Oryctolagus cuniculus: one gene and its partners. The protein of the gene in region 1 interacts with the protein of each later gene in a biochemical or structural test. Links are inferred from orthologs where the notes say so. Each region holds a gene or a part of one and is shown in the gene's direction. Other genes may lie near its edges.

Region 1 (4,967 bases):
CGTCTGTCAACATATTTAATGCGGCAACTGCAACAACTGTGCAATATTATGGCTCACGCTCTCTATGCCGTATGTGTTGACAGGACGCTAAAGAGTCTCTCTCTAAACGCAAAAGCCGCCAGGATGAATTACGAGGGCCAGCGCAAGCCAACCGCTGCGCCACCGAAACCACTGGGCTGGGGAGCCTGCGTCGCCTTCAGAGGGCAGCCGGCGTTTCTTCTAACAAAGGCGCGAGCTCGAGGCAATTTCGCGGGCCATTTTCCCCCGGCCAGCGCCAGCTTTGTCTCCGCGCCGGTGCGAGGCCGAACCCTGGAGGAGCCCCAGCTGCGCGGCGGGGCCAGCGAGCGAGCGAGGGCTGGCGTGGGAAGCTCGGCTGGGCCGCTGCGGCGGCGGCTTGCAACCCGAGCGTGCCATTACAAGAAGTTGGAGTGCAGCGGCCGCAGCGGATACCTGCTGCCTGCAAATCGGGGCTGGACTCGAACAGCCCCCGGCGCACCGGCCGCTGTGTACAAAGAAACTCAACCGGCCAGCGCGGCGGCGGCGGCCTGAGGGCTCTGCGTTCCCGGGCCGAGGTCGGCGGCGTCGTCTGCGTTCGCCACGGGCTGGGGAGCCGGCGTGCGCGGGGGGTCACGGAGCCCGCAGGCAGGCCCCCGGGGACCGGCGCCCGAGCGGGCCTCACGCCGCGCCCGGCACGCGAACCCGCGGACGGCGGGGCCCCTCCCCCCAGGCCCCGCCGCCCCCCGCCGCCGACGTCGGCCGCGCGGCCCCCGCGCGCGCGCGCGCGCTGACTGGCTCGCGCCGGCCTCCGGCCCGGCTGTGGGCGGTTGGGGCGCAGCCCGCGGGAGGCCGCCCCGCCCCCTCCGCCGCGCGGCCGCGCGCAGCCTCTCCCCCCTCGCCGGCGGGGCGGTGGCGCCGTAGCCTCCGCCGCGGCCTGCGCGGCGGTCACTCCCCTGCGCCCCAGCCCCACTCCTCCTCCTCCTCCTCCTCCTCCTCGTCGCTCTCCGCTCCCTCCCGCCGGGCCCCTCCCCTCGCCGTCTCTCGCCCGAGCGAAGGTGGCGCGGCGGCGCGGGACGCAGCCTCGGCCCCCGCCGCGGCCCCGCGAACTCGTGAGGAGGACCGGGCTGCCGCCCACCCCAGCCCCGCGCCCCGTGCGGCCGCCGCCGCCGCCGCCGGGGAAGAAGCAGCAGCAGGGGAGTGGCGGCGCGGCGGCGGGAAAGCGAGAGGCGGGCGAGCAGGGAACGCTGCGAGGAACGGACAGAAGGACGGCCGGCCCGACGAGGGCGCCGCCATCGAGCCTGCCCGGCCCCTCGGCTCCGGGCGGCGGCGGCGGCGCGGGCGAAGGGCGCGGCAGGCGCTAGCGAGACAATAACCGGCCGCTCGGCTCTGGGGGCGGCGGCGAGGAGCAGGGCCGGCCTAGCGCGGCCGCGGCCCGCCGAGCGCCCGGGCGGCGTCTCGGCCGCCGCCGCCGCCGTCGGGGGCGCGGGGCGCGCGGGGCCCGGCCGACGGCGCCTCCCCTCCCCCTCCGCGGCGCGCGCGCTGGGGTTCCGGGTTCCCCTGGACGGAGCTGGCTCCTGCCTTGCGCCGAGGCAGGAAGTGAGTTTCGCACGGCAATTCCGGGCGGTGTCACGAGTGAAAAAGTTTTTTTTTTTTTTTTTTTTTTTCCTCCTCCTCTCGGCGGAGATCCTAGTTGGGGCTGGGAAACTCCTGCAAACTCGAGACCAGGAAGCCAGCCCGCATCCCAACCCCCACCCGGGCAGCCTACTCTGCTGCTGCGGGCGGCCGCTGCACATCCGTTCTCACCGGAGAGACTCGGCTGGATGCGAAGTGACTAACGCGGGCGAGGGAATCATGGGCAGCGAAGCCTGGAAAAAGCAGCCCTGAGACGCCGTCCGGCCGAAAGGTAATTTTCGCGAGAAGCGTCTGGAAGACACACAGTGCACGGACCGGAAAAGGGGCGATCCTTTTGCCCAAGTTTCCGTCAGTTCTTTGCTCGGATCGGAGCGCACAGTGTTCTAGGTGGTGAAGTGGGAGAGCTGTGTGTGTTTTGTTTTGTTTTGTTTTTTAAGCCCCGGTCTGCCATCTGGGCTGTGGTTTGTGTAGAAGCGATGGTAAGAATGCAGTGGGACGGGAAGTTTGGGCCGCCTGGAGAAAGAGTGCCTTTGTTGAGCGCGAGCTCCAGAAGTTTTCGTTTTCTGGAGCCTCTGCGAGGTGTGCGAAGCTCCTGTCTGGCGACTTGGTTGGGAGGAAAGTTCCGTCGATTTGCGGCTGTTGAGATGGCTGCCGCGTTTGTTTGTGCTGATAGCGATGGTTTTGGCTTTGGAGTTCATCGCGCAGAGACTGTTTTTGGTTCAGAGCCTTGTTGCGTCTAGTTTATTGGATTTTAGGGACAAGCAACTTTTTGCCAGCTTTAGTTTTCAGGGCAGGTAATGTTTTTTTTTTTTTTCACGTGTGTTAACTTGTCCTTTTCAGGTGTTGACTCCTAAAATATTTCCTTCATTAATTGAAAGCAAGCGTCTGCTAGACTTTTCTTGTGACTGAACCATTAGGATGGAGAAGGAGGGAGTGAGGATTACAGATGAAGGTGTGTAATTAAAACGCAGCTTGATTTGCTCGGACTGCCGTGCAGGTCAGCACTGACTATGTAGGGAGGGAAGTAAAACGCTTCAAAGATTTTCTTGGGAACCACACTGATTGGGATATAAAAAAAGCTGTGCCTTTGAATACTAGGATATTTAGATTTTTGTGTTGGCCCAAATGTTTCGTTCGGTTCGGCCTAATAAGGGAGAGGAACTTAGTGTGGGGCAGGACTCCGTGAAGCGTGACAGACCTACTAGCAGCAGGCAGAGCTCTGAACACCCCTGAGCCAATGGGTAGACTTCCTAGAGTCAACGCGTTTGGGTCATGGCAAACCCACTCCCTGCTTTCAGCGGCGTTTTAGTGTCTTAAGTTTATTTTTTTCCCCAGTACTTTTGTGGTAAAGGTAGTGAAAAAATATTGTATTTGTGAGTAAATGCTAAGAAAATATGATCATCTGTGGAATCATTTTAATATAAATCGATGCCTAGTTTATCAAATACTAGCAAAGTAATTACTGTAAACCCCAGGAGAAAGAGCTGACTTCCGTTCAGAGAGAAAAGGTAAATTTTAAAATCAGGATCAAATTATTTCACAACTTGATATTTGCTACTTCGTCTTTTAAAAGTACTTTTCAAAATGGGAGACTTTTAACTGTATTGCTTTGTTTTTTTTTTTTTTCTGAGAGTGTGATTTCTGTTTTTTTTTTTTAATTGTGAACCATCATATAATTCCTTTTAAGCCAAATTAGCCTTATCAAGGAATTTAAAGTGCACAGCTGATCTACTTTATGAATTCAGACCATGTATTAGGCAGCAAAGGAGGTTGTTGTTGGGCATCTGAAAGAATGGAACAAAATAAATGACATTGAACTTCAGTTTCCTTATATGGTTCATACTTGGCCTCAGAGCAACAAAGCCATAATAGAGCAAGTTTGACCCAGAATTACCACTTTACAAAGGTATTTGTGTTCATAAATTTTATGTAAAAATTATTGTAGCACCTGATAATGACTAAACACCTGATTTTTGATAAAGTTCTTGGTTTCCCCCCTCCTCCTGGAGAAGAATGGTATGTTTGCAGGCAGGCAACACATTTTTAAAAATGAGGTGTTAACTTTTGTAATTATCTTTGGTTCCTTTTTACCTCTTAATGATGCATAACTTTCTTTGTGGTTTACTTAAAATTCTGTTACTTAGCATTAACAGACTAAATTTTAGGTTTTGCACTGTTGAACTGTATATTCCAAAATTTTGTTTAAAATGTGAGGTTTGAAGAGATGTTTAGAAAAGCAGTCAGTTAAAATATTTTAAGTGACTTCAGGATCTGGGTATTCTTAGTGTTGTATAGACTTTCTTAGGATAAATTATGTGTTTACTTATTTGCACAGAATACAATTTAAAAGATATGTTTGTTGAAGGTAATCATGAGTTTTCAGAACTTCCACCAATTCAAAGTACTAAGTTACAGAATCACTTTGCCGCTTGAGGTTAAACTGTAACAAAAATTTATGTATAAAAAGCTTACAGAGGTTCAAATATGGGAGCCAGATTTTCATTGTGTGCTGTTAATTAAGTGATGACTATAGAGACGTATCATTGGTAAATCACTAAAATTCAGTTACTTTTGACCTTGATGATGTTGAAGTATTGGTAATAAATGATAGCTTCTTTTTTCATTTTTCAAAGATTTTATTTATTTGAAAGGTAAAATTACAGAGAGGCAGAGAAGTCTTCCATCCACTGGTTCACTCCCCAAATGGCTGCAGTGGCTAGAGCTGGACTGATCTGAAGCCAGGAGCCAGGATCTTCTTCCAGGTCTCCCACTCTGGTGTAGTCCAAGGACTTGGGACATCCTCTAATGCTTTCCCAGGCATACTGACAGGGAGCTTCTTCTGAGTCTCCCACATAGGTGCAGGGGCCCAATGTCTTGGGCCATCTTCTGATTTCCCAGGCCAAAGCAGAGAGCTGGATCAGAAGTGGAGCAGCTGGGACTCGAACTGGCGCCCATATGGGATCACAGCCAGTACTGCAGAGGTGGCTTGCTATGTCACAGCGCCGGCCCCCTCTATTTTGTTTGTAAAACAGAGTTACAGAGAGGCACAGGCAGAGAAAGCGAGATCTCCCATCTGCTCTTTCACTCCCTAAATGGCTGCAATAACCAGAGTTGGGCTGATCAGAAGCCAGGAGCCAGGAGTTTCTTTCCAGTCGCCCACATGGTACAAGGGCCCAAGCACTTAGGCCATTTCCTACTGTTTTCCCAGGCCATAGCAGAGAGCTGGATTGAAAGTGGAGCAGGGGCTGGGACTGTGGCACAGCAGGTAAAGCCGCCGCCGGCATTGCCGGTATCCCAGATGGGCGCTGGTTCGAGTCCTGGCTACTCCACTTTGAATC
Region 2 (3,009 bases), on another chromosome or scaffold:
GCACAGACTTGAGGCTGCCCCTCCCCCAGAGCATCCCAGCTGTCACCACCCAAAAATAACCGTGCATGGGTGAAGGTGCCAGGGCTGAGCCAGTGGGGAGACGAGGCCAGCTGCGGGGGGGTCCTGCCCACTGTGCGGCACCACCGAGCCCTTGCATCCTCTGCTGCACCCTCCCCCACCTGGCGCTCTGGCTCTCCCCCAGGTGATCGGCCTGCTGGACGTGTTCACCCCAGACGAGACCCTGGACGACTTCACAGACTTGTGAGTGCTGGCTGGGCTGGCCGGGCAGGCCAGTAGGGCACTGGCTGGCTCCTGGGCACCAGCGTTAGGTTCTGGGTCGGCAGGGGGCCTTTCCCCACAGCCATGGTGACGGGCGCTGGGATACACCCTGTTCACTCTGTGTCCGGACCCAGGCCACTCCACACCCCCTCCCAACATGTTCCTGGGACCCTTGGGCACTGGAACACCCAGACACAGCCCGGGCCTCCTCCTCCCTCCACCCGCAGCACCTGGGCCATCGCCGGTGCTGGAGGTGTGAACCCTGTTAACAGGCTGGTCCCGTGCTCTGGCCCCAGGCACCAGGCGTGTGGCCTGTAACTGGAGCTGCTGACCTTTGCCGGTGGGTGGAGGAGAGGTGGCAGGGAGCGGCCATCCCGGCCTAGCACTGACCAGGCTGCTTCCGGCTCACGTTGTTCTCAGCTGGGAGCAGGGCCAGGCCTGCGGAGGGCTGCGGAGGGCAGCGGGCTCCCTGTTGCCTGACATGCCAAGGGTGGGTCCCCGAGGCCTCAGCGTCTCCTGGGGTGCTAAGTGGTGACTTCCCTCCCTCGGCCTGCCCAGCCCACCCCTCTGGCCACCACCCATCTCGTCCTTCCCCGGCCCCTGTGTGTGAAGCTTCCTGCCCCCTTGTCTTCAACACTGTGCCTTTTAGACGAGAAATCAGGAGCCCCACAGTGGGTGACATTCAGGGTAGGCTGGGTGGGATGTCTGGGGGGAGGCGGGGTCATTGCTGGGAGCGACAGGGAGGTCGGGGAAGAGAGGACTCGACCGAAGCCAGCGGGGACCAGGTGCTGAGGGTCACCTTCTGAGGGGCATCTGTCGGGCAGAGTCCTCCAGGTCTGAGCCTGAGCCCATCGGGTGGGACCCCCGGCTCCAGGGCCCGGCCCTGGCGGGTGACTGCATCCCAGCCCCACTTCCAGTTACCTGGTGATGCCGTTCATGGGCACCGACCTGGGCAAGCTCATGAAGCACGAGAAGCTGAGTGAGGACCGCATCCAGTTCCTGGTGTACCAGATGCTGAAGGGGCTGAAGGTGGGGCACCCGGGCAGAGCAGGGCGGGGAGGCTCTGTGGCCCTGAGGCCCTGGGACGCTGACCCCTGCTGACCCCTCTGTCTGCAGTACATCCACGCTGCTGGCGTCATCCACAGGGTGAGTCCTGGCTACGGCCTCCAGAGGGGCCCAGTCCCGTCTCCACTGCTCACCCGTGAGGGGGTGCGGTGGGCTTGGCGTGGTGCACACGACACCCCATGCATTGCTGCTGGGAACGTGTCCTGGGGACCCAGGCACCTCTGCTCTCCTGGACGGGCTGCAAGGGCCAGGGAGGCTGGGTCGGGCCTGGCGGCCCCTGTGTGGGTGCCGTCCAACGTCGGGCCTCGCAGTGGCCACCTGTCCTCTGCCTGCAGGACCTGAAGCCCGGCAACCTGGCAGTGAATGAGGACTGTGAGCTGAAGGTGCGAGGGCCAGGGGCCTGGGGGGGGGGGCTCCCTCACCATCTGCCCCCAGCCTGGCACCTGGGCAGGGGCTGAGCAGCTAGCTGGTGGGCGAATGGGCCCTGGGTGGTCCCTGAGGGGGTGGCATCGGGCACGACGCCCCCATACCTGCGTCAGGGCGAGCGTGGGAGGTGTTCCCAGTCCCCATGCCTGACCCAGGGCGGGGCTGAGGAGGCCTCCAGGAAGACGGGCAGGGGTTGGCAGAGCAGGGAGAGGAGTCCAGGGCCAGAGCTCCCGGGTACTCCCAGGGAGGGACCCTGGGGTGGTGCTTGCTGCCTTGGGCCCAGCCCCCTGGGGGTCTCCCGGACCATGGCTGGCCTGTGCATCCCTTAGGGGTCCTCTTAGTCCCATCTCTCTGATTCTTCCCACAGATCCTGGACTTTGGCCTGGCCAGGCAGGCTGACAGTGAGATGACTGGCTATGTGGTGACCCGGTGGTACCGGGCCCCCGAGGTCATCCTGAACTGGATGCACTACACACAGACAGGTAAGAGGCCACCCAGGGACACGGGGGCCTCCCAGACCACACCGCTTCGCTCCATGGTGGAGGCCCCGCCCCCCAAAAGCTGTGTGTTCTGGCGGAGCCGGGTGAGGGCGTGGGCCTGTGCTACAGCCCCTTCCTCCACCCCGGGTGCTGATGGGGTCTCGTCTCAGTGGACATCTGGTCGGTGGGCTGCATCATGGCGGAGATGATTACGGGGAAGACGCTGTTCAAGGGCAGTGACCGTATCCTCAGTCGTGGGCTGCCTGGCGGGCGGGGCCGGAGGAGGTGGGTGTGGCTCCTGCTCCCTGTCCCCTGTCGTGCTCCTGAACCCCAGTGCAGACCTGGACCAGCTGAAGGAGATCATGAAGGTGACAGGGACGCCTCCGGCCGACTTCGTGCAAAAGCTGCGGAGCGCTGATGTCCGTATGGAGCTGGGCGGGTGAGGCCAGCTGGCCTGGGGGCTGCCCCTCACCCTGTCTTCCCTGGCAGGCCAAGCAGTACATGCAGGGCCTCCCCGAGTGTGAGAGGAAGGACTTTGCCTCCGTGGTGACCAACGCAAGCCCTCTGGGTAGGGCGGGGGGCAGCGGGGCGGTCTCGGGGCTGGGGCGCAGGCCCGCCTCTGCCGGCCTGACCCGCTGCCCCTCCAGCCGTGAACCTCCTGGAGAAGATGCTGGTGCTGGACGGGGACCAGCGGGTGACAGCGGCCGAGGCGCTGGCCCACCCCTACTTCGAGTCCCTGCACGACACGGAGGACGAGCCC
Region 3 (4,194 bases), on another chromosome or scaffold:
AGAGGAGGGGCTGGCCAACTGGGCTGACCCTCTCAGAGGGGCCTTCGAGATGTGGAGGGTAGACGAGGCGGGAGGGGCGCCCAGGTCAGTTGTGCAGATAGTGAACTGTGCAACTGTAGGAGCTGCTGTTCCCAGGGCCCGGCTCGGAGCCTCTCTGTGTTGCATGGAGAACCACAGCAGGCAGCCTGAGCCATGTCCTGTAGGCCCTCACCTATCTGGGCAGCGCCATCCTGGCCACCCCCACTCCCCAGCAGCAAAGCTCTGTCACTCTACTTCCCAACTCTGGGGCTCCCCTAGGAACTGTAGGGGTGTAAGACCTGCCCCAGTCCCCCATGGTGACCCCAACTGCAAGGACTCCTTGAGAATCCTCACTGTGGGCCTGGGGGAGCCCCAATTTCAGCCCTCCCATCTCCCCTGGCTCTGACACAGCCCTCCCCCCAACCCCGCCCCAGGTACCTGACGGAGTTCGTGGACTTGGGCAACATCTCAGCCCTGAGGACTTTCCGGGTGCTGCGGGCCCTGAAAACCATCACGGTCATCCCAGGTACTGGGGTGACACAGGGACCCTCTGCCTGGACCAACAGACCTGCCCCTTGCTCACACCTGGAACCTAGCACTCGAGTTCCAGGAGCCTGCGCCAGGGTTATGACTCTGCTGGGCTGTGTGTAAGGCTCTCCCCACGGCCTGGACCACAGGGGGCTGGCACAGCCGGAGAGCAGGAAGGGCCCTCGGTGGGAGCTGGGTGTTTCCCCACAGCTTAGCAAGGTGGTGGAGCCAGACTGCTTGGGTTCAACTCTCCCTTGCACCCGTCTGTGACCTTGGGCAAGTGTTTGACTTGCTGTGCCTCAGTTGCCCCATCTGTGAAACGTGGATGGTAGTAGTACCACCCAGTGGGTTACTTTGAGGTTAGGGACTTTGAAGGAGGGCCCGGCACAAGGGATGTGACACATAACAGAGTTAGCCTCACAGTCAACGCCCGTGTGCCACGCTGGAGTCCTGGGTTCCACACCTGGTTCTGGCTCCTGACTCCACCTTCCTGCTAATACAGACCTGGGAGGCAGCCGTGATGGCTCAGGAAACTGGGTTCCTGCCACCCATGTGAGAGAGCTGGGGGGAGCTTCCGGCTTCCAGTTTCAGCCTGGCCCATTCCCAGCCGTTTCAGGCATTTAGGGAATGAACAAGCAGATGGAAGCACCTTCTCTGTCCCTCCTCGCTCTCTGCCTCTCAAATAAATGATTTTTTTTTAATTTGTTTGAAAGGTAGTTACAGAGAGGGGAGGGGAGAGAGAGAGAGAGAGAGCGCGCGATCTTTCATCTGCTGGTTCACTGCCCAAATGGCTGCAACAGCCAAGCTGAAGCCAGGAGCCTGGAGCTTCCTCTGGGTCTCCCACACGGGTGCAGGGGCCCAGGCACGTGGGCCATCTTCCACTGCTTTGCCAGGTGCACCAGCAGGGAGCTGGATCAGAAGTAGAGCAGCCGGGTCTTGAACCGATGCTTATATGGGATGTTGGCATCACAGGCAAAAGCATTTTTTTTTTTAAGATTTATTTATTTGAAAGTCAGAGTTACACAGAGAGAAAAGGAGAGGGAGAGAGAGAGAGAGGTCTTCCATCCAATGGTTCACTCCCCAATTGGCCACATCGGCCGAAGCTGTGCCAATCCGAAGCCAGGAGCCAGGAGCTTCTTCCGGGTCTCCCACGCAGGTGCAGGGGCCCAAGGACCTGGGCCATCTTCTACTGCTTTCCCAGGCCATAGCAGAGAGCTGGATGGGCAGTGGAGCAGCCGGGTCTTGAACCAGCACTCATATGGGATGCCGGCGCTTCAGGCCAGGGCATTAACCCACTGCACCACAGCGCCAGCCCCTAGAAGCTTAATCTACTATGCCACAACGCTGGCTCCCTCAAATAAATGAATTTTTCAAACAAATAAAAATGCAGACTGAGCAGAAACCGCTCTGTGGGGGCTGAACTGAGCACACAGCGCAGCCCGCTGAGCCATAAGAGCAGGCACGGGCTCGGGGGGATGGCCACCCTGCCCCACCCGCTGCCCACACTGGTGCCCTCCCCAGGGCTGAAGACGATCGTGGGCGCCCTGATCCAGTCCGTGAAGAAGCTGTCAGATGTAATGATCCTTACCGTGTTCTGCCTGAGCGTCTTCGCCCTGGTGGGGCTGCAGCTCTTCATGGGGAACCTGCGGCAGAAGTGTGTACGCTGGCCCCCGCCCTTCAACGACACCAACACCACGTGGTATGGCAACGACACATGGTACGGCAACGACACGTGGGACGACGGCCGCGAGAGCTGGGCCAGCAACTACACCTTTGACTGGGACGCCTACATCAACGACGAAGGTAAGAGTGGACAGGTGGGCAGGCGAGGCGGGGGGCCTGTCCCAGCCCCTGCCACAGCTTCTCGTGACGCACATAGCCTGGCGAGGACCTGAGCTGAGATCTGTCCCTTGTCAGCTTGTGTCACCTCTGACAAGTCACTCGGTCTCCCCTTGTCTGCATCACACGATGTGCTCACACCCTGGCAGACCCCCGGCAGGCACCACCTGGAGATGCCCTATTGGCACATGCAGCCTGCACAGGCACACACGTGAGACACACACTCCCACACAGCCACGCGTCCTCCCCACAGTGCCTCCGTGCAGCTGGGACAGTGGTGCCCCTTCTGGAAGCCAGCCCCAATTCACACTGAAATCAGGGCTTGGTAGCCTGAGGCAGACACATACGGGTCCCTTCTGGCTCCGTGCGTCCTCACTGGACACCCACACTCGCGCTGAGCTGCCACTGTTTGGGCCAGAGCTCCCTCCCCATCTCTTGTGCGGAGACCTTAGAACCTGGAGCTGTCATTATGGGAGGGGGAGGGGCGCCCAGAGGACACCTATTTGGGGTACATGGCGCACGGGTGTGCAGTGGGTGCGTGTGCCCGCAGTGTGCCTGCGCGGGTGACACGCCTCCTTTGTGGCATTCGACTTCCAAAGGGAACTTCTACTTCCTGGAGGGCGCCAACGACGCCCTGCTCTGTGGGAACAGCAGTGACGCGGGGTGAGTGATGCTGGGGAGGCAGCAGGGAAGAGGGGCGTCCCAGGTCTTGGAAGATGGGGGATGGGAGATGATCAGGGACTGGGACTTGGGCTGGACGGGAGTCAGGGAAAACCCACGGACGTGGAAGGACTACTTTCCAGACTGGGGACATAGGTGGGACTGAGGGTTCCCCCCTCTGGGGTCGCACACATGTCTCCCAGCTACAGCTCTCTGCCCCCCATCCTGTCCCCAGGCACTGCCCCGAGGGTTACGAGTGCATCAAGGCTGGGCGAAACCCCAACTATGGCTACACCAGCTACGACACCTTCAGCTGGGCCTTCCTGGCGCTCTTCCGCCTCATGACACAGGACTACTGGGAGAACCTCTTCCAGCTGGTACAGCCTCCCCTGCCCCCACCCCTCCACCCTGCAGGCCACAGGTGACCCCAGCATAGCCATCTGCTCTGTAGGACCATAGGTGCCCCTGCAGCTTCTGGGAACCCTGAGCACCTGTCCAGAGCTGGGCCACAGCCTTCCTCACCTTAAGAGCTGAGGTCTGGGCCTGGCACAGGCTTGGGTCCAGGAAACCCTGGGCCTCACGGAAACCAGCAGGGCAGCTGGGAAATTCACCCCTGCCCACGTGCAGGTACAGCCGGCCTCCGCCCGTGTGGGGTCCGCGTGCACTGACCCGATCACCGTGGATCAGACTGTTGGAGGGGGAAAAGTACCGTGCCAAACACGTCCAGGCCGATTTCCTTCTCATTCGTCCCTAAGCAATCAGCATGACAAGCATTTACATAGTATTTATGTCATAAAGTCTACAATTCAAGACATTTCCAAATACAAAAAAATTTGAACTACAAACTTCAAAAAGTTCATGGAAAATGCACATTGTAAAAATGTATGGATTTAAAACTGTTTTTCTGCACCAAAATCGGGTTATCTTTTCATGCTGTTTGCCACGGACTTTTGGAAGTATTTTAAGTTCCCTGGGACGTGGCGTGGCCTGCCCAGGATGACCACATCCCGCCTCAGGGGCCTCCTAATTGGAGGTATGAGAAGGGGCTGCGGGTACCACAGGTCCTCTCCCCTGCTTCTCCCCCAACTCCCAGACCCTGCGAGCAGCTGGCAAGACCTACATGATCTTCTTCGTCGTCATCATCTTCCT

The links. The genes of interacting proteins can lie anywhere in the genome.
Region 2: the proteins of ERBIN (region 1) and MAPK12 interact in a test that uses a peptide from one of them, tested with the Homo sapiens proteins (2 studies listed by BioGRID and IntAct). The link is inferred for Oryctolagus cuniculus from reciprocal best matches to the Homo sapiens genes ERBIN and MAPK12.
Region 3: the proteins of ERBIN (region 1) and SCN4A interact in a test that uses a peptide from one of them, tested with the Homo sapiens proteins (2 studies listed by BioGRID and IntAct). The link is inferred for Oryctolagus cuniculus from reciprocal best matches to the Homo sapiens genes ERBIN and SCN4A.

Annotation. Positions count from the first base shown.
Region 1 is NC_091445.1:86,864,775-86,869,741, forward strand, and holds the start of ERBIN (erbin), read left to right. Parts: upstream 1-1,638; 5' UTR 1,639-1,900; intron 1,901-1,931; exon of another isoform or gene 1,932-2,105; coding exon of another isoform or gene 2,106-2,108; intron 2,109-2,469; 5' UTR 2,470-2,575; coding exon 2,576-2,581; intron 2,582-4,967. UniProt on the Homo sapiens protein: Acts as an adapter for the receptor ERBB2, in epithelia. By binding the unphosphorylated 'Tyr-1248' of receptor ERBB2, it may contribute to stabilize this unphosphorylated state.
Region 2 is NC_091442.1:123,206,485-123,209,493, reverse strand, and holds part of MAPK12 (mitogen-activated protein kinase 12), read left to right. Parts: intron 1-202; coding exon 203-261; intron 262-1,196; coding exon 1,197-1,308; intron 1,309-1,395; coding exon 1,396-1,425; intron 1,426-1,679; coding exon 1,680-1,727; intron 1,728-2,137; coding exon 2,138-2,252; intron 2,253-2,419; coding exon 2,420-2,491; intron 2,492-2,588; coding exon 2,589-2,668; intron 2,669-2,738; coding exon 2,739-2,817; intron 2,818-2,896; coding exon 2,897-3,009. UniProt on the Homo sapiens protein: Serine/threonine kinase which acts as an essential component of the MAP kinase signal transduction pathway.
Region 3 is NC_091448.1:14,800,559-14,804,752, forward strand, and holds part of SCN4A (sodium channel protein type 4 subunit alpha), read left to right. Parts: intron 1-452; coding exon 453-544; intron 545-2,067; coding exon 2,068-2,349; intron 2,350-2,984; coding exon 2,985-3,048; intron 3,049-3,280; coding exon 3,281-3,422; intron 3,423-4,138; coding exon 4,139-4,194. UniProt on the Homo sapiens protein: Pore-forming subunit of Nav1.4, a voltage-gated sodium (Nav) channel that directly mediates the depolarizing phase of action potentials in excitable membranes.